Caenorhabditis elegans: one gene and its partners. The protein of the gene in region 4 purifies or fractionates together with the protein of the main gene of each other region. This does not show direct contact. Each region holds a gene or a part of one and is shown on either strand. Other genes may lie near its edges. The genes, in order: rpl-13, puf-12, prdx-3 and her-1.

What was found.
Region 1: the proteins of her-1 (region 4) and rpl-13 fractionate together in Caenorhabditis elegans (co-fractionation; one large-scale study listed by BioGRID). This does not show direct contact.
Region 2: the proteins of her-1 (region 4) and puf-12 fractionate together in Caenorhabditis elegans (co-fractionation; one large-scale study listed by BioGRID). This does not show direct contact.
Region 3: the proteins of her-1 (region 4) and prdx-3 fractionate together in Caenorhabditis elegans (co-fractionation; one large-scale study listed by BioGRID). This does not show direct contact.

The regions. Positions count from the first base shown.
Region 1 is NC_003279.8:3,786,047-3,789,449, forward strand, and holds rpl-13 (Large ribosomal subunit protein eL13), read left to right. Parts: upstream 1-1,989; 5' UTR 1,990-1,995; coding exon 1,996-2,162; intron 2,163-2,206; coding exon 2,207-2,372; intron 2,373-2,422; coding exon 2,423-2,509; intron 2,510-2,612; coding exon 2,613-2,816; 3' UTR 2,817-2,850; downstream 2,851-3,403. Other genes in the region: tppp-1 (Tubulin polymerization-promoting protein homolog), read left to right, coding at 548-597, 748-894, 946-1,193, 1,238-1,335; ptr-2 (SSD domain-containing protein), read right to left, coding at 3,368-3,403. UniProt on the Caenorhabditis elegans protein: Component of the ribosome, a large ribonucleoprotein complex responsible for the synthesis of proteins in the cell.
Region 2 is NC_003280.10:10,098,494-10,103,582, reverse strand, and holds puf-12 (Pumilio domain-containing protein 12), read right to left. Parts: upstream 3,274-5,089; 5' UTR 3,255-3,273; coding exon 3,135-3,254; intron 3,085-3,134; coding exon 2,782-3,084; intron 2,735-2,781; coding exon 2,230-2,734; intron 2,178-2,229; coding exon 1,918-2,177; intron 1,872-1,917; coding exon 1,172-1,871; intron 1,125-1,171; coding exon 712-1,124; 3' UTR 522-711; downstream 1-521. Other genes in the region: putative RING finger protein ZK945.4, read left to right, coding at 1-41, 86-165, 214-470; pas-7 (Proteasome subunit alpha type-3), read left to right, coding at 3,730-3,799, 3,849-3,961, 4,007-4,576; lact-2 (Beta-lactamase domain-containing protein 2), read right to left, coding at 4,894-5,089.
Region 3 is NC_003281.10:4,405,845-4,408,934, reverse strand, and holds prdx-3 (putative peroxiredoxin prdx-3), read right to left. Parts: upstream 1,492-3,090; coding exon 1,333-1,491; intron 1,287-1,332; coding exon 855-1,286; intron 677-854; coding exon 587-676; 3' UTR 501-586; downstream 1-500. Other genes in the region: gpch-1 (G patch domain-containing protein 1 homolog), read right to left, coding at 1-268, 313-370; RNA-binding protein rnp-4, read right to left, coding at 1,832-1,939, 2,247-2,492, 2,543-2,617; snfc-5 (SWI/SNF Subunit INI1 DNA binding domain-containing protein), read right to left, coding at 2,859-2,994, 3,043-3,090. UniProt on the Caenorhabditis elegans protein: Thiol-specific peroxidase that catalyzes the reduction of hydrogen peroxide and organic hydroperoxides to water and alcohols, respectively.
Region 4 is NC_003283.11:9,695,145-9,702,546, reverse strand, and holds her-1 (Protein her-1), read right to left. Parts: upstream 5,533-7,402; 5' UTR 5,419-5,532; coding exon 5,276-5,418; intron 5,227-5,275; coding exon 5,114-5,226; intron 1,778-5,113; exon of another isoform or gene 1,776-1,777; coding exon 1,618-1,775; intron 1,109-1,617; coding exon 995-1,108; 3' UTR 512-994; downstream 1-511. UniProt on the Caenorhabditis elegans protein: Dictates male development. Probably plays a direct role in cell signaling during C.elegans sex determination. Inhibits the function of tra-2a.

The DNA of each region.
Region 1 (3,403 bases), on a different chromosome or scaffold from region 4:
GTCGAAATACGCGATTGAAAAGAGGAAGAGAGAAGTTTTTTTCTCATTTCATTAAAGAACGCCGTTTGCCCTATCTCTCTTCACTTTCTCACCCGTTTCCTGCTAGTTCAAAACTTCACTAATCACCGTCCGAATCTCTTTGGCTCGTTATGCTTTTCAACTGACGGACGGCGCAATTAGGGAACAACGTTGGCGTTGCGCGAAGAATGAATAGATAATAATCTTGGCTCTCGCCCCATTGTGCTCTTTCTACTCCACACTCAGCTTCTGCCAATTCCTTCCGACACATGGGCTTTTATACTTCTTCTTCCTCAAATTGCTAAACAAAGTCAGAAATCGAGTGCAGATATTGCCGCCACGTGATTCTCTTAATTCTCTTATGCTCGATAGAGCTCCACCTATTTTTGATTTATGCTCTCCTCTCACGCAGTTTTCTCAACTCTCTTTGAATATTTCCATGTTTCCATGGTTGCCATCGAGTGCTCATTCTTTTCCGGTCGTTATTCCTATTTTCACTATACAAACACCTTTTATTTTTCAGAAAATCATGGCCGCTGCTGCTGGATTCAACTGGGATGATGCTGATGTGAAGAAAAGGTAAATTATTTGGATTTTAAATTATAAACTTTGCAAGAAGTCCAGTAGTTTACCGATTTCAATTTTGGTAACCAGAAAAAAATTAACAAAACATTGTTTTTCACACAGTTTCGAGTTAGAATTTCGCATCAAAACCTTTTAATTTTCTAGATGGGACGCGTTCACCAAATTCGGAGCTGCTACCGCCACCGAAATGACTGGAAAGAACTTCGACAAGTGGCTTAAGGATGCTGGTGTCCTCGACAACAAAGCCATCACCGGGACAATGACCGGAATCGCTTTCAGCAAAGTTACTGGGTGGGTTGAACTTTACTGTCTGCATCGAATTAACTAAAAAATTTATTATAGACCTAAAAAGAAGGCCACTTTCGACGAAACGAAGAAAGTGCTGGCATTTGTCGCCGAGGATCGCGCGAGACAAAGTAAGAAGCCGATTCAGGACGAACTGGACGCAATCACAGAGAAATTGGCCAAATTGGAAGCGCCGAGTGTTGGAGGTGCGGCGAAGGCCAATGCGGCCGGCGTTTACAGCCGTCTCACCGATCACACAAAGTATACTGGAGCCCATAAAGAAAGATTCGATGCCGAAGGAAAAGGTATTTGTAGAAAATGAATTCACGAAAGAAATATGTAATTTCAGGAAAAGGAAAATCAGGACGTGCGGATACAACAGAAAATACTGGATATGTTGGAGCTTACAAGAATAAAGATTCCTACGATAAAACACATGGAAAGTAATCAAAGATCTCTCTATGGACCAAATAAATGCACTTCTTTTTCTTTTCGTTTTGTCTATATTCTCGAATGTATAATTCCCAGTAATATCTTTGTATTAATAAATTTATTTATTTAACTTTTTTTAATCTAAAATTCAAAAGCAAATAATTTCAGTAATTTTTTGAATTAAATTAATTCCACTTTCTAGTTTTTAGAGATGATAAAGTAGTTTGAAGTTATGTACCATATTAAAAATTATTTTCAGAAAAGTTAAGTTCACTGAAAATACCACTTTCTTATTGATTTAACTATTTTAAATGGAAATATTCAATTTTATAGACTGCGAAACAAATTAGGCACACATTTTGTTCCTGCGTAAATCGACACAAGTACACAGGCAGGTCTCGCAGCGCTTGGCTGCCGCAGCCAATTCGTTGGCTGAGTATTCAACGTTGTAACACTGTGAAGAAGAAACCCATAGAATTTTTCTGAATTTTTTCTTTTCTTTTTTGATTCAATATGCTGATTTTTTAAATTTTCTCCCGGAAATTGTTTTAAAAATATCTATTTAAGCTTTTTTTCGCAATTTTGCGTTGTTATTGAGTTATTTTCTGTATTTCTATCGCAATTTTCATTAGTTTGAACTAAAATCGCAATTTTACTTCTTTTTTTCAGGGTACAATGGCTCCACGTGGAAACCAAATGTTGGGCAATGCCCATTTCCGCAAGCACTGGCACAAGCGCATAAAGACCTGGTTCGACCAGCCAGCTCGCAAACTCCGCAGAAGACAGAACCGTCAAGCTAAGGCTGTCGAAATCGCTCCTCGCCCAGTTGCTGGACTTCTCAGGTTAGATAGAATTAGTCTTTTCATTAAATATAGTTTCATTTCAGATCTGTCGTCCGTTGCCCACAGAAGAGATACAACACCAAGACTCGTCTTGGACGTGGTTTCTCTCTTCAAGAGCTCAAGGCCGCCGGAATCTCCCAGGCTCAGGCCCGCACCATCGGAATCGCCGTTGATGTGAGAAGAACCAACAAGACCGCCGAGGGACTTAAGGTATGTAATAAATTATTTTGCATGAAAATTAAATGTATACAATATTTTAGGCCAACGCCGATCGTCTCAAGGAGTACAAAGCCAAGCTTATCCTCTTCCCGAAGAAGGCTAGCGCACCAAAGAAGGGAGACAGCTCTGTAAGTTTTTTTTTGCATTTAATTAAGTTTGAAAGTATTTTTGAACTTAGTCGATAACAGTTTGTTAAATAATTCCTGCATAATATGAATATTGATTTTTAAGGCTGAGGAGCTCAAGGTTGCCGCCCAACTTCGCGGAGATGTCCTTCCACTTTCCCACACCATCACCTTCGACGAGCCACGCCAAGTTACCGACGCCGAACGCAAGGTCGAGATCTTCAGACTTCTCCGCAAGGAGCGTGCTGACAAGAAATACCGTGGAAAGCGTGAGAAGAGAGCCAGAGAGGCCGCTGAGGAGAATAAGTAAATTGTTGATTTTCTCTGTTCATAAACTTGTTATGAAAGTTAACAGTGACTTACCAACGAACAAACGAAATGCAAATAATATTCTAAAATACAATACGTCTAGTTTAAGTTTTTATTTGAAAACTTATGGTCAAAAGTGAAACATCAGAACGGGAAAGTTGATTTTGAGTTTCCGATTGTAAATCTTAAAAATTCTGTCGCTTACTATTAGTTTAGGTTTTCATTGTGATTTTATTCGCTACTTGAAAAATATTAAAGTTTAATTTCAAGAAACGCATATTAATCCTCAGCTTTTGGTAAAAATTTGTAGCACTGAGAAATAGGTGGCTGTTGGCTTAAATATCCAATTATCCGTTTTCTTATTTTTGACCGATTTGTTCTAAAAATGTCTCCTTCCCATTCTAGACTCACTGATAATGTTTCGAGAGTTAATAATATTTAAAATTTCAATTAAGATATTCATTCACATATATTTAAAAACAACGTAGAACATTCACAATATTCTACAAATACACGTATTCAATTAGTTAATGAGAGTCATTGGAAGAAAGACTAGTCTAGGTGCTCGGATTTAATAGAATTCTTTGA
Region 2 (5,089 bases), on a different chromosome or scaffold from region 4:
AAGTTCATCGAAAACCACAGCACTCGAATTTCGTCCCGATCGTAAGTCTATTATTTAGTTATTCTACAATTTCTTCAATTTACAGAAACATTCTTCGTTATAATTGCGACTTTTTAGAAATCATTGACAGAACTGAAGATCTTACGATTTATTCTGAAGGATTGCGTGAGTTTTTCGATAATTGTTGCGTCATCTGAAAACTGAAAGATTAAGGCTTAATAATGATAGTTGATCTGCTCGATGGTGATCGTGATCGATACTTTGTCGCTCTGGAGCAGTTGGAAGAAGCTGTAGCATATGAAAAAATAATTGTTGGTCTGAAAAGCTATTCTCGTGGACATGGCGAAGCTGCATCGAATTTTCTCACTAAGCTGGCGGATCTCCATAACAAAATGCCAAAAATCACCGTTGTCGTAAATGTCGACCGAAGCGAGGATATCGAGAAAATTGTTAATGAATCAATAATCTAAAATTATAATTGCACACTGTTATTATGATCTCAATTCTGTGTTTTTACAACGTTTTTTTTATATTTTTCCTTTTTATTACCGTACGGTGTTTCAAAAAATTAACGAGATGCAAAAAGTAATAAAAAAAAAGTCAACAACAAAATAACGAGAACAATAAAAAGGTGTGGTATTTAGAGATGTATAGGACGAATCCCTCAAAACAAATAAAATCAACAAAAATTAATTCGTATACCTTGCATTCTCACTTCTTGACATTTCCGTCGAGCTGTGCCTTCAGAAGATTTGCTCCTTTTGAGTTATAGCCATCCAAGTGTTTTCTGCTGATCGAAGCCTTCAATTTTTCAATAACTTTCGGTCCTCCAACTTGAAGCATTTTCAAGAGAACATGGCAACCGCGATTGCAAGTCACCCACGAGCCAAGCTGCTTGCTCGTAAGTCCTTCTGCCAATGCAACTGACAAACGTTCATCTTCTTGTAGAGCGGCATCACAGCGCATGACTGCCATGAGAATGAAATTGCCCGATTGGTGTTCAATAATGTGGAAGCCTTCCTGGTCCATTGGTACAAAGTCCTTCTTCGCCAATTCAACGATCGCTTGGTTGCAACTCTTGCGAGCTTCTGCTGGGACTTGTCGATCGAACAAATCGAAGCTTGCTGAAAAAAACTCGAATTCTTTATAATTGTGCAACTTTTAAACTTACAGGTGGTTTCGAGACATGCAGCCACGAATTTTGACTTGTTGGCCTCGAAAACAAGCTCTTCGAAGTTAGCAGCCAAATAAGGATACAAGTTCTCGGTAATACCGGCGTACAACTGTCCATATCTATCCTTTTGAGTTTTCTTCGAGTGTGGATTGCTATCACCTTCGGCAAGGAATGTAATTTCTCTTTTGTCGATTCCTCTTCCATCTCTTGGATGCACCAAATAGTGGATAACTTTCTCTCCCCAATCATCTTCGATCAACTTCTTCATTTCATTTGCCAACTCGGAGACAATAACCTTATTGAGAAGAACAGTATCGTCGACAGTATCAAAAAGTGCAAGAAGAACACGATGTCCGTAATGTTCCATTGCGGCTTTTACTGACAAATCCTTGAAATTCTTGACGATCAATTTTCTTTCCTTGACTGGAGCAAACCAAATGAGTTTAATAGCCAATTTGGCACCATCTGGAGTATGAATGAACTCGGGAATTTTATCTTTCAGTGAATCAAGGAGATTGATTTTCTTTTCCTCGTCGCAATTATCGAAAAAGTCGAGCATAAGTTTGTGCAGAATTGAAAGTCGCAAAGTTTCTTTTTCATTCACTGCTCCAATAACCTCGTCCAAATGCTTCAAAATCACAACCTTCTTTTCCGGCTTTTCAGCGAGAATCTCCGTCAGAGATCTGATATTGTCTTCCTGAAATCAACAAACTATTTTTAGAGCTTAATTGAATGTTGTTTACTCTGAACAAAATGAATTCTTTTCCATAAAATTCAGTAATGATGTTGTAACGCTGATGGGCATTAGCGAAGTCATTGTAAGCATATTCAAGAACTTCGGCAGCATGTTTGATTCTGAGCAGGGTTGGAGCATGTCCGCGGAATGCATTAATGATAATATCACGTTGTTCTTTAGTTCCATTCTTCAACATTTTCTTGACGAAAAATTTGGAATAGACGTTCTTTGACATCCTCACTATTTCTGGGGTTAATTCGTTGAACACTGCAATAATTATGTTCTCGTAATTATTCATGGGAACCTTCAAAAAACTTACAGTTGTTAATGATTCCTTCTCTTTCAGTGGCAACAAGACATTCGATAACTCTGCTGGTGTCGTGAGCATAGATCAGCTTGGCAGCGTGTCCTTTTACAAGACCATACAACTCGTGAACCGCAGTATCCTTTTCAGCTTTTGGCGTCTTTCCCATTCTGATCTTTTCCCAAAGTTCCTTGCATTTTTGAGCACGAGCTCCTTCAGGTTTTCTCTTCAATTTCAACTCCTTCAAAAATGCTTTTCTTTCTTTTCTCGGCATATTCAGCAATTGTTCTTTAACAGACTTTGTGACTTGAATAGCTACTCTCTTTCTCTTTAGAGTTGGAATGTCAATATGAGATTCATCTCCACCTGCTTGTTCGTCGACAGATTCCAAATTTTCATCGTCTGCTGGCTCAGAAGCAACGGCTTTCTCTGCATTAACCTTCACTTTTTTCTTTGGGGGAGCGGAATGCTCTTCTTCTTCTTCCTGAGCAACTTTGACAGTCTTCACTTTGGCAAGTTTCTGAAAAAAAACAATTGTGTAAAAGACGATATATTGAATTAACAAACCTTAACCTTCTTATCAAGAGGGGATCTGAGAATTCCTCTTCCTGGAGATGCCTCTGATGGTTTGATTTGAAGATCCTGAACTCGCTTATCGAAAACCTTAACATGTTCAAGTTCTCCTGAGAAAAGCACTTTTTTCGATTTCTTTTTCGGTGCTGGCTGGCTTCCGAACGAAGACTCCGAGCACAAAGAGTCACGAGTCCCATCATTATCAAAAACTGATGTTGAAGATGACTTTTTCAACCTTTCCAACTCGTCCTTCACAGCTTTGTCTACTTTGCTTTTTAACGCTGCTTTTTCTTCAATCTGAAATATTTCACAAAAAATTATTTACAAAATGAAGTAATTTAACAAACCTTAACAATTCGCTTTCTGTCTACTTTGTTGAGTTTTAATCCTTTTGCCTTTTTCTCCAACACATTTTTAACCTTCTTCTTCCCTTTGAATTTTTTATTTTTGTCGTCGAGTTTCACCATTTTTACCCGCGAGATTTCTCTGAAAGACACGCATATTAAAAGGAGTAATAAACACAAGACAATTTTATGTGAGGTTTAAGCGATTTTTACTTTGGAAACAAATTGCACAGCTTCAAAATAGTAACAAAAAGTTACGAAAAAGTAAAGAAAAATGAAAAGAAAATGTTAAAGGCGCATGTTGTCTTCTGACGTCTCTCAATTTACACACTCTCTTCTTCGTCGTTGCGAGACCTGCCGCAATGTTCGTCTCTCCCGTAAATCGACATTGGAAAATCATCATTTGAAATTTTATTTCCATTTAGCTGCCATTTTCAGATTATCAGCTTTTATTTTCGCAATAATTCTACTATTTTTAACGCATTCAAATAAACGAATTATTAAATATTAAATTTTAACGGTTCTTCTGATTTCCGCAGAAATAAAACACGTACCAGTTGCAATCATATATGTGTTAACATAGTTTTTATTTTGCAGAATGAGTTCAATCGGTACCGGCTACGATCTCGCCGCCTCTACTTTTTCTCCTGATGGCAGAATTTTCCAAGGTTTGTTTCGATTTTGCTTTGTTCAAAATACTCATAATCTCGTTTTCAGTCGAGTACGCTCAAAAGGCTGTCGACAATGCAGGAACAATGATTGCAATTCGTGGCAAGAACGGAGTTGTGGTCGTTGCTGACAAGCTGATCTCTTCCAAACTTTACACTGATGTGAGTAATTTAAGAGATTTTCAAGATTTTATCTATAATTTTCAGAACGCTAATCCAAGAATGTTTAACGTGAACGACAATGTTGGTGTCGCAGTTGCTGGAAACTATCCAGATGGTTTCGCTCTGAAGAACTATGCTTACGGAGAAGCAATGAAGTGGCTCAAAGACTACCGTGAGCCAATGCCGATTCAGAATATTGCTAACTCAGTTGCTGAGTACATTCACATTCACACTCTCGGCATTAGTCGTCCGTTTGGAGCAGGAGCCTTCTTCATGTCATGGAACAAACAAACTGGAGGACGTCTTTTCCTTGTGGAGCCATCAGGTCTAAACTATGAATACAAGGCATGGGCTGTCGGAAAACATCGCCAAGCCGCAAAAGCTGAGATTGAGAAGCTGAAGATCGAGGAGCTGGATGTGAATCAACTCGTGAAGGAAGCTGCTCGAATCATTATGGTGGTGCGTGACGAGAACAAGGATAAAAACGTTCAAATCGAAATGGGATGGGTCGGTGAGCAGACGAACGGAAAGTACGAAGAAGTTCCAAGCGAGGTTGTCACTGCTGCCGAGGAATGGGCTATTGCCAAGCTTGACGAGGACGACATGGACGATTGAATCATTCTCGTGTATTTATTCACATTTTTAATTTATTATCAGCTCTCTTCTTTCTGCCCTGGTAAACTTCTTGCGCTCGGCGAGTCATTTTATTGTACTTCAAACCGACTCACCGACTTCAAGAAGAACTTTTTGCACCCGGATGTTTTTTTTTAACTTTTTCTGTTCATTATTTTTCGGTTTCCCGGTATTACCCATTTTTCTCAATACAAATTCAGACAAACCAGAAACATGTTTATGCACAATTCGCTGGGGGCAGTAGACCCGTCCCAAATTATGGCGCTATGTACAAACAAGGATAACAACAATTTTTTAAGTTATGCGGCAACTGCTTGAACTGCTTCCTCGATCATCACACTTTGACCAGTCTTCTGTTTCTCCAAGCACTCAAATACAGAATCTCGAAGATGTCTGTATGTTCTCGTAAGCTCTCCCATTCCAGTTTTCAATCCATTCGAGACGTAGGCAATCGTGATCCCATCTTCCAAATCCATCATTACTGTGCTGCCACCG
Region 3 (3,090 bases), on a different chromosome or scaffold from region 4:
GCAGTCTGTTTTATCGATCGATTCCCTATTCCATATTCTCCAAGATCTTCTGCATCCATAAAATCTTCAGCTCTTTGTTTTATTTGTTCTCCACGTTCATTCCGAGATGATGAGAACACTTGAGGAACCCATCCTTGCTTTGATCCAACTGTATTCCAATAACCAGCTGAAAATCCTCCAGTGAAGGCTCCATGGAATCTCCGTTTTCCTTTTTCATCTGTTGCTATCTCTTCGTGGATTTGAGTTGGCTTTTTTGATACAGAGCTTCCTGAAATTATTTATTTTTTTCCTGAAAACTGTAAAATTGCAGACCTTCTTCGTCATCATCTTCGAATTCCTGACCATATGCTGCTAATTTTTTCCTGTTCATTTATTTAGAAAAATCTGAAATGAAATTCACATTTTTTTCCAAAACTTTTTAGGAAACAAAAATCAATATTTTAATGGATTTTTCTGAAACCGTATATTTTCCAAAATTAATTTCAAAAAACTCGAGCTGAATGACACCTATTTATTTAAACCGACAAACTAAATCATCAATATGATAAATACAAAGAATAAAAATAATTGTTCTGTTTCTGTGTGATCACTTGTTGACCTTGTTGAAGTATTCCTTGCTGGTAGCGACTCCTGGCTTGATGGTTGGAGAATCCTCATGCCAATCAGCTGGGCAAACCTGAAAAATTAATTTTTTATTCGTCGAAATTTGTTTTAATGGACTAAAACTAGCCCGAAACGACCGATTTCCTTTTCAACAAAAATTTAAATATTTTTATGGCGGGCCAAAGTTTCGGAAAAAAAACATTGCATTTTTTTTGCTAGAAATTAAATTTTTTGTAAATTTCAAAATTCACCTCTCCGTGCTTATCAGAGAATTGGAATGCCTTGAGCACTCTCAAAGTCTCATCAACAGATCTTCCAACTGGAAGATCGTTACAAGTAGTGTGACGGACAGTTCCAGATGGATCAATGAGGAAAAGTCCACGGTATGAGAGTCCGGATTCCTTGTCGAGCACACCGAACGAGTCGGCGATCTTCTTGTTGAAATCAGCGAGCAAAGGGATGTCCATATCACCGAGTCCTCCGTCCTTGCGTGGAGTGTTAACCCAGGCCAAGTGAGAGAAGTGAGAATCACACGAGCACGCGACAACTTCAGCTCCAAGAGAACGGAACTCGTTTGCACGATCTCCGTATGCGATGATTTCAGTTGGGCATACAAAGGTGAAGTCAAGTGGATAGAAGAACATGACGAGCCATTTTCCTTTGTAGTCTTGATCAGAAATCACCTGGAATTAATTTTTGAAAAAAATATATATATTTGTTATTTTTAACCTTGAAGTCTCCATCAACGACAGCAGTTCCTTTGAAAGCTGGGACAGTATTTTTTGGTCCAAGTGGACGAAGTGACAAAAGAGCACGAGATGTGCTCAACTGGCGGGTGGCAACAGTAGGAACCGTGCGGCAAAGAGCTCGAACAGCAGAAGAAAACATCTGCAAAACTCAGATATTCAGAAATCTTTTTTTCCAGAATTTGATCTACGAAACAATTGAAGATATCAAATCGTTCCAAACTGGTTAACGATAAAAAGAAAATAGCAACAGCAGATAATTGAAAAATGGTCATTTTATTCACTGTTATTGCATGTGTCACATAGATAACAAAAATCGCAAAATTGAGAAGAGCGAGCGAGTTGAGACCAAATAGATATTTAAAATTTCGAATGGTAAATTGGGAAAGAGGACAAAAAATAAATAGAAAAGGAAAAACTTAACAGTGACGTGTAAAAAAACATAAAACGTGGATTGGAGAGGACAATTAAGTACGTGGTTTTCAGCGCTTTCCAGAAGTCTTCTTTCCCTTGACGAAGCACCAATCGACTTTGACATTCTGGCCGAGAAGATCTGTATCGTTGCTCTGATCAATAGCTTCGTTGGCTTCCTGGAAAATAAATAATTTATATTGATACCAGCCGTGGACCGCACCTCCGGCGCGGCCCCCCACTTCTGGGGCTGAAAACTAATTTTTCTGAAACTACCGTAACCCTACAGTATTCCTACCGTACCACTATTGTACCACTACAGTACCCCGACTATATCCCTACACTAACCCCAACTCACTATCCCCACAGAAGCCAAAACTTCACAGACTACAAAGACTACATAGACTACAAACTATGGACACACAGAATAAGCGCTTTATATATAGTAAATGATTTCGATAGAAACGACGACTGCTAAAATATTACCTTCTGCGTTTCGTACTCCACCAGTGCGTATCCCTTCAAAAAACCGGTTCGTCTGTCGAGATTCAAATGAATGTTCTTAATTTTTCCGTACTCGGAAAACTTGTCATGAACATCATCTTCTGTTGCCTCTTCGTGAATGTTTGTCACGAAGACAATCCATCCTTCAACGGATCTTTGTGGTGCTCCGCTTGTGGCAGACGACTCTTCATCGACCACGTCGTAGGTGATCCTCTCGCGATTGCGACTCTAGAAAAATATATTATTGATTATTGATTACAAAATTCGACAAAATTTACCTGCGCAAGTCCTCGACCTCTTGATCTCTCGGCGTTGGCCACCACATCCTCCATCTCTACTTCGTTGTCGCTCATTTTTCTCTTCAAGCGATTGAGACGATCGGGCTCTGAAATTTTATTTATTTATATTTTCAGTTAGATCATTCAGTTTGAAAACCGCCACAAGTTCCTATTGGAAAGAGCAGTTTACACGAGAAAATGTAGAGAAAAGATCGAGGAAAGAATAAATTAAAAGAAAGTGCACATTAAAAATATTGAGATAAAATGGTTAAAATTCGTTAAATACAGGTTGATTTCGTAGAGATCAGTAGATACTTCAATAGTTGAATCCACCGCCAACAAGACGACGCATTCTTCTCGTGTTTCTGTCTTGATCACGCATCTTCTTTTCGATTTCAGCGTCGGTTAAAGTTTCGAGGAATGGACCCCAAGATTCGACTTCAGATGATGTTCTGAATAGCATTGGTTTGCAAAAATTCATTATTTCATATCAAATTTACCTGAACGGGCAATCAACAGTGGCCAGTGGGCTTTCTGAAAACGCATAT
Region 4 (7,402 bases):
TGAGTTAATTGTTTTCTTAACTTTATTCTTATATTGTATTCTAAACTTAAGTTAGCAGAATCCATACTTCAAACTCGGATCACGCCTGAACAGTTTTGGTAACTTGTGTTGATTTACAAAAAATCTAAACTTATATAGTTTGAATTCCACCAAGTACAAGTTTATGATGAAACCCAACACATGTGTTAACACATAAAATTTAAAAAAAAACCTTAATGGCCATTTTATCAATTTCGAATGAATTGATTGATTTTTCCTTGCTAGCTCTAAAGCATTATTCAGTTTAAAATAACAAGCAGAATATGAGAAACAACATTACATTTAGTTTATTAATCTTTCAAAACGGATAAGAAATAAAGTTTTGCTCGTTTTGCAGTTTGAATAACTAAAATTACAAATAAAATTTAGAATTTGTTAGAAAGCAGAGAATTGAAAAAAAATTGATAAAATTTGTAGTTCGAAAATCACTTTCTTATCATTTTTTGTTGATTATGTCGTATGGGTTCTGTGCGTTGATAAAACAATTTATTCAATAAAAAAGATCGTAGAAAGTACTTGAATATTCATATTTGACAACTTTAGGAGAAACCAACAAGAGAAGATATATTTTTTATGAAAAAAAAAATAAATAAAATCAGGACCGCACCGTAGTGCGCCTTCATGACATCTGAGCGCATCCGAAAACATTCTTGAAGAGAATGTTAAGAAGAAATCAATAAGAATAGGACATTTCAAAAAATTCTATTAAAAATATATACAACAATATGACAAGTTGCGTATCGAAAATTTTCTTCAACATAAGGAGAACACAAGATTAAAAATATAACTCAAAGTGAGTAAAGCTCAAAGCTTTGATTAAGAGGTAGACATAGAGGTGTTACAAAAAATAAAATAAAAAGGTTTAGAAAGAAAAGAAAAAATTGGACCACTCATGATGGAGAGTGCCATAATGACAACGGCGGATTAGGGATGTTTTAGGCTAATGAGCCCAGATTCAGACTCCTCGGAAAGTTCGCTTTTGGATAAACGTTGCATTGCAGTATTCTTCGAATTGGAGCACTTCAATTTTGATACCATCTTTACGGAGGCTCCGGCATTTCTCAAAACACTGAAAAATAAATTTGTTTTATGACACACTTGATTAACTCGAATTGAACGATTAGAATATCGAATGAGATATCTTTGAAAAACGTGGTTCCTGGACTGACGCACTGCTCCAAAAATGTATCTCAACCTAGGCGAACAATTTTTGGGGTGATATCTATCCACTATCGGATTTTCCGCTTGCCAATTGAATTTTTTTTTTAATTTTCTCCGTTTTAGGATGAATTTTATAGACGAGGGAATGGATGGGACGAACTCCAAAATTGTTTGCCTGGACCAAGAAAAAGTCTGCAAATCGCAGCCGTTTTTACAGAGTTGGAGATAATTTAATATTTTTAAACTTGGCTTTGGTCAACTAGGGATCCTTTCTTTAAAACTGGAAAAATTAGGACTACGTACTGAAATAGGCAGGAGCTGAAAAAACCATAAGACAGATTGCACCGAATATTTTCAATTTACCCGTTTGTCTAACTAGAATAGGCGAACTGAAATTCTGTGTTAACAAAAACTCACTTTATACAGTACATTATCCAGAAGCGAGCAACTTTTGATGCTGTCCAGACGTGTGGCAGCGTCGATGGAAGGGCTGGTCATGAGGTTCTTGCAACGATTCTCACATCTTCTTCCAGAATCGTTTTGGTCGTTGCCAAACACGGAGCAGCACACGGAGTCTGAATAAAGACAATATGAGATTAGGGCGTGGGATGGGCAAATGGGCGGGGCAATCAGAGAGGCGGAGTCAAAAGAGACAGGTGTTGGCATGTTTTACGTGTGAAGAGGCAAATAATAGATCGATAATTAAGACAATTTGTCCCTCAAAAATAACGATTTCTTTTGGGAAAGTCTCTTCTGGGAAATCGTAAAATTATAGCAATTCTGTGAGTCAAATGCATTTGTAAGTTTTTCTATAAACCTCATATTATCAATAAAATTAGTGAATATTCACAACTTTACAGAAAGTAGAAATTTCTCGAATTTCAGATTTTCAAATTAATTTATATTAAGACAATTTCTGCTCAGGGGAACGCACCTAAATAAACCAATTAAGTTCTGTACTTTTTGGATTTAATCACGCGTGCATTTAGTTTAGTAAGATTACTGTATTTTCTCTAATAGTATTGCACCACATTATTTTAATTGAAAGCTTTATATCTCACTATCAACTCATTTTAAAGATATCAATAAATTTTAACTGCAAGCAATTGAAAAAGAAATAATAGTTTCTCAATTGGCAATATTTGAATAGAACAAACGCTAACTAAAATATAAGCTGGTAAAATTGAACAATAAGGTCTAATACAATAACGGGGAATACGGTATACATTATTTGAGCACTGATATCTACCTTCATTATGAAGTTTCACTTTATCAGCTATTCGAGAAAAATTTGAAAACCTCAGATGTAGCTGAAGCTATGATATTTGTAGTCTCAAAAAACATTGTTCCCGTCAAAACAGCTATGTTTGCTCTACGCAATCTAGTTTCTCCTGGATGGACCTAATCGACGCGTTTTTCATCTCATTTGATCTACCACTCTCTTACATTATATCTCGTCTACGGTATCTCTCATTTACCGTAGTCTCTCATTTCCCATATACTCTTTTGTTGCAACTCGACACACATGACGGTATTGCGGACTCTTTTATGACGACTGTAGATCGTAATTCCTATACCGTATGGCAGATCTAATAAGATGAAGGACCAAGCACACCTGGATTGGGAGGTGTAATGAGGAATAGAAAAGCAAACTGTACAGGGGTGAGAACAAGAAAATACTTATTCAATATTTATTAGCTGATGCCGTGCATTCTGATATATTTGTAAATAAAACAGATTGCTCCCGGCGGCACTTAAATATTTTCTTTCTAACGAAAAATGCAAGATGTCAAAAGAAAAAAAGCAACTGCTCTGCTCCTGTAGGACAATTGTTGCAGGGGAGTCTCCCATCTAATCAATACACCTAACAAAAGAGTGAGTCAACTGATAAAAGGATAAACATGCAAAGATATGGTATCAGTGCTCGCAGTAGAACACTCTTTTATCTTGGAGAGATAACACGAGAAAGATCAAAACAAATTATGAACATTATCAGAGAATTCAAAGACATTGTTATCATAATTTTTATGTTTTCATAAATCTATTAAATGATCAAATGAGTAGGCGAAATTAATTTTTTTTTAACATTGTAGAGAACAAGTATTGAAAAATATTAGAGCCAAATTCAATACTGTAAAGTTTTTTTTTGGCCATGAATATCTCAAAAACAAATAAAGAAGCCTATTTTAAAACTTATGTTAAAACGTAGCCCTAATAGAATTCTGAACGAAAAACGTAACTTTTTGAGGCTAAAAAATATATTTCTAAATAGTTTGAGGGTTTGAAGAATATCTACTCTCGAAACATGATGACAGGTGGTACGCAAGACACAAGGGTCCGTCTATTCTCCCTGCGCAATACCAATTGCCTGCACAACCCTAGGACAATTGAACGGACCACCTAGAACAAGTTGCAACTTTAGAGTTGAATATCTCAAAAACTGAGCCTGAAACATAATCAAAAAGTTTTTCTAACAAATAGAGCATGTCAAATTCTTTTAGAAAACTTGGTTGTTACATTACCAAAAATTTTTTGTAGATGCTTTAGGTGTTGTCAAAGTGATCCCTATTTAGTTGAACAAGGTTCCAATGTTATTGAGGGAAATATTACAATTCGAAATGGAAGAGGAAACTATTTACAGGAAATCAAACATTATTATAGATATGAGAAAATGTTTAAATGCTAGTTGATAAGTGTTATCAATAACTGGAAATGTAGTATGTTGAAGTGAAATCAAATCAGGAAACTATAGAGAGCTTAAGTTGCTTCAAAGACACGGTATCCTTGACATTTATCACAAATTTACTGATATCAGTAAGCTTCAAATTGTTAAAAGCCTGACCGACTTTGAATATATCGATCGAGCGTATGGTGGCGACTGCCCAATGCCCGAAGCCTTGTACCTCTCTGCGCACACATACGCACTATCTTCCTCCTCTTACCATTGTCTACGTCATCGTACTGCATTTTTTCTAATTTCTAAAATATCGAAAAATGTTTGAACAATTTTTTTACTATATGATAACATCTCGTTCTGCTGTAACTCGGATTATGGAAATGCCCAACATTTGCTTTCGAACTTAGCGGTGAAACTTCAATTTCCAGTTTAATTTCACATTGGCAGAAACTTTGTTTCAAAATTGGTAAAGTATTCGTTTTATAATTTAAAGTGAAAAAATAATAGCCCTTATGAATTATTCGAATAATCATTCTATCATAGTTATAATTGATTTCAGCAAGAGAGAGCGCGAACATTCTAAATTGGGGTTAGTTTGAAGACGTTTTACGTGTTATTAAATAATTTTTCAAATGATAATAAATACTCAGAAACAAAGACTTTAATTTTATCTTTGTTTTGGTATACTTTTTAGTATAGGTTGCAGGCTCAGTTTTTGTGATATAACTCCTCAAATTCAGATATTCTTGAAGTCTTGGGCGCTTTCTTCAAATATTTCTCCCATACATTGCATGCCATTTTTAAATTTCAAATAGTTAAAGATAAGTAGTAATAATAATCTTACTCATGAAAAATTTCAAACGCTCTCTCTTTACTTACGTTCTAACTATTATTTTGAAATCAGAGAAGCCTCTGATGATTTACTTTGATTTTTTTCAAAACAATTTGAGGCAAGAATATTAAAAAAAAAATGTTCAAAATTATTGAAAATTTCCAAAGAGTATACGAATGAAAGAGGCAGAAAAGATATTGTGACTTTTCAATGCGTGTGGTCTTTCTGCCTCCGGCCAATCAATGACCTCACGGGCGGGCGCTATGCCACCGGTTTCTCGATTTTCCTCAAGTTAAAACTAACTTGTACATACCGTATTAGTCATTTCCTATATTTCTTAAGAATAAACAAAACTTGATATCTTGGCTTGTGAGGAGAATTTTACCTGAAAAAAAAACGCTCACCATCCAAGTTAATCTTTTTCTTTGGTTCTTTTGCAAACAACACATTTTGAAGACATTTGTAGACATATCCGGGTAGCTTCGGATCCCTGTCATAACCACATCGAATTGGGGTTCTAAATTATACCGATTATCGCATTGTTCGTGCTCGTAAAAGCGGTTCACCCAAATTTCATAATTTCAATGCAACATTCTTGACGGTTTCTTGTACAGCATTTCTCAGCTGCATCTTTGATAAGTTCCTTTGTTAATGTAGTTTCCGTATAGCCAAATGATCCGAGAAACACAAAAATTGGGAGATATCTCATAATGCAACGTAAGGAAAGGGAGGAGATTTACTACTGTAGGTGGACAAGATGCGCTGAGAAAATAGAAGCAGAAGGTAGGAGGAATATGAGCAAGAGACGACTGGTGGGTTCAGTCAGGAGATAGGCATCCCTGCAGTGTCATTTGGTTGAATGATGGATATAGAACCTGAAGAGACTTAGATACTCAAAGAAAGTTAGACAAAGAAGGTACATACAGTGCTCATGTATGCTCCTAAGATATAATCTACTCTCAGAAGCTGAAGAACTGGTCCGTTGTTTCTGCTTAATATATAAGAAACTAGGCAAAACTATACTAGAAACTAATTAGTTCATGTTTGAAACATATCTGCTCGTCAGTGACGTCACTCTCAACAATCTCATTAAATCCTGTAAATACAACTCCATTTTTTAAAAGATATGAAAAAATGTATAATTTAAGTGTTGATTTCACAGAATATGATTATTTCTTTGAAAATATTGAATTGATTGAGAGCACCTCTCAATCTTAAATTATGTTTTTTAGAAGAAACTTTCATAAAACCCCAGTAAATGTTTCGAAGAGCCCCTCGCCGAACAATTTCCAATTAATAGATATCTTTATTTTCGATCACTATGTTCCAATTTTGTGCCTTGTCAACTTTACTTTCATATCTATTTTCAAGGTTGAGGATTAATGCCGTAGATGATTGATACAATAGTTTTACAAAATAAAGTTTATCAAATTATACTTTATCGAGCATACTGTAACCGTTCTATATGTTCCAATTGACTTCATTTCGTTTCAAACATGGTATGTTCCACCTTTGACGGTAATTGATATGATAAGGATTGCCAAATTTGCGAATATCCTGCATAACAATTTGTTAATTGTCAGATTGAACTACCAAAATACTCATGAGACAAGAGATCAAAAGAGCAAGATTGTAGTAATGATAGAACGAATAACAAAATAATCTTCTTCAGTTTTAATGTTCCTTTAAGGTTCAGATTGAATACTCTTTAGTAACTCTTTAGAGTAATATCTCTTAATAACTCTTAGAACTCTTTAGAATAACTCTTTAAAGTATTGTTCTATATCATTTTAAGAAATGAGTTGTATTCTATGGCAGAAACGTACCGAATCGTGAATTGGTTCACTTTACTTTTTTAGGTCTATCTAAGATTATCAATTTACTTAAATTTGACTATTTATTCGTCTATACTTTTCAGCTGAAAGTTTCAGATCAGAAACTGATTGAACATGCAAAGATCTGTCAAAGAAAACAATGTATTAAATTAATTTACAGTTTCAAAACATATTTTTATCAAATTGATATTTCATTTTTTAGTCAAATACAATTCCTTTATCTTACTTCGTTGTCTTCCTATCTTCTCACAACTTACCTCATTCTAGACAACACTCGATATCCCGAAGGGCCATTATATTGCCTGTCTCACAGTAACTGAGTGTCTGCAATTGTGAGCAAATGCTATTGCATGTGCGTGATTCACTAAAATAGCATAGGAGATTGAGTGACTTAGAGATCGAATGCGCGGGAAAGAAGATCAAACGAGTAGGCGGTGTGGACAGATGACGTGGGTCTACAAGTGTAGCTACAACCGAGCACAATAAAGGCAATTCAGGGAAAATAAGGATATATAATGGTGTTGAGCTCCGTTGATGCAAATATATATTGCTACATTGAATTTTATTTTCCTGGCCCAAAAATAACTATCTGTTCATCAATATAATTAAGAATTGGAATCAAAAATTACTTGGAAAAAATATATTTAGTGTTTGAAATTTCACGATGACTATGTAGTAATGAAAATGAGAAACTTGTTAATTTTTCAGATACAATGGAAAATAATAGTAAGAAAAAATATTGCAACTGTGAATTAGATACATTCAACATATTTTTTAATCAAATTTATTACGAATTTGCGAACTAGAAATTCTCACGTTTCAAAAATTTTCAATAGAGTAATCTCAAAGAGTCATGCG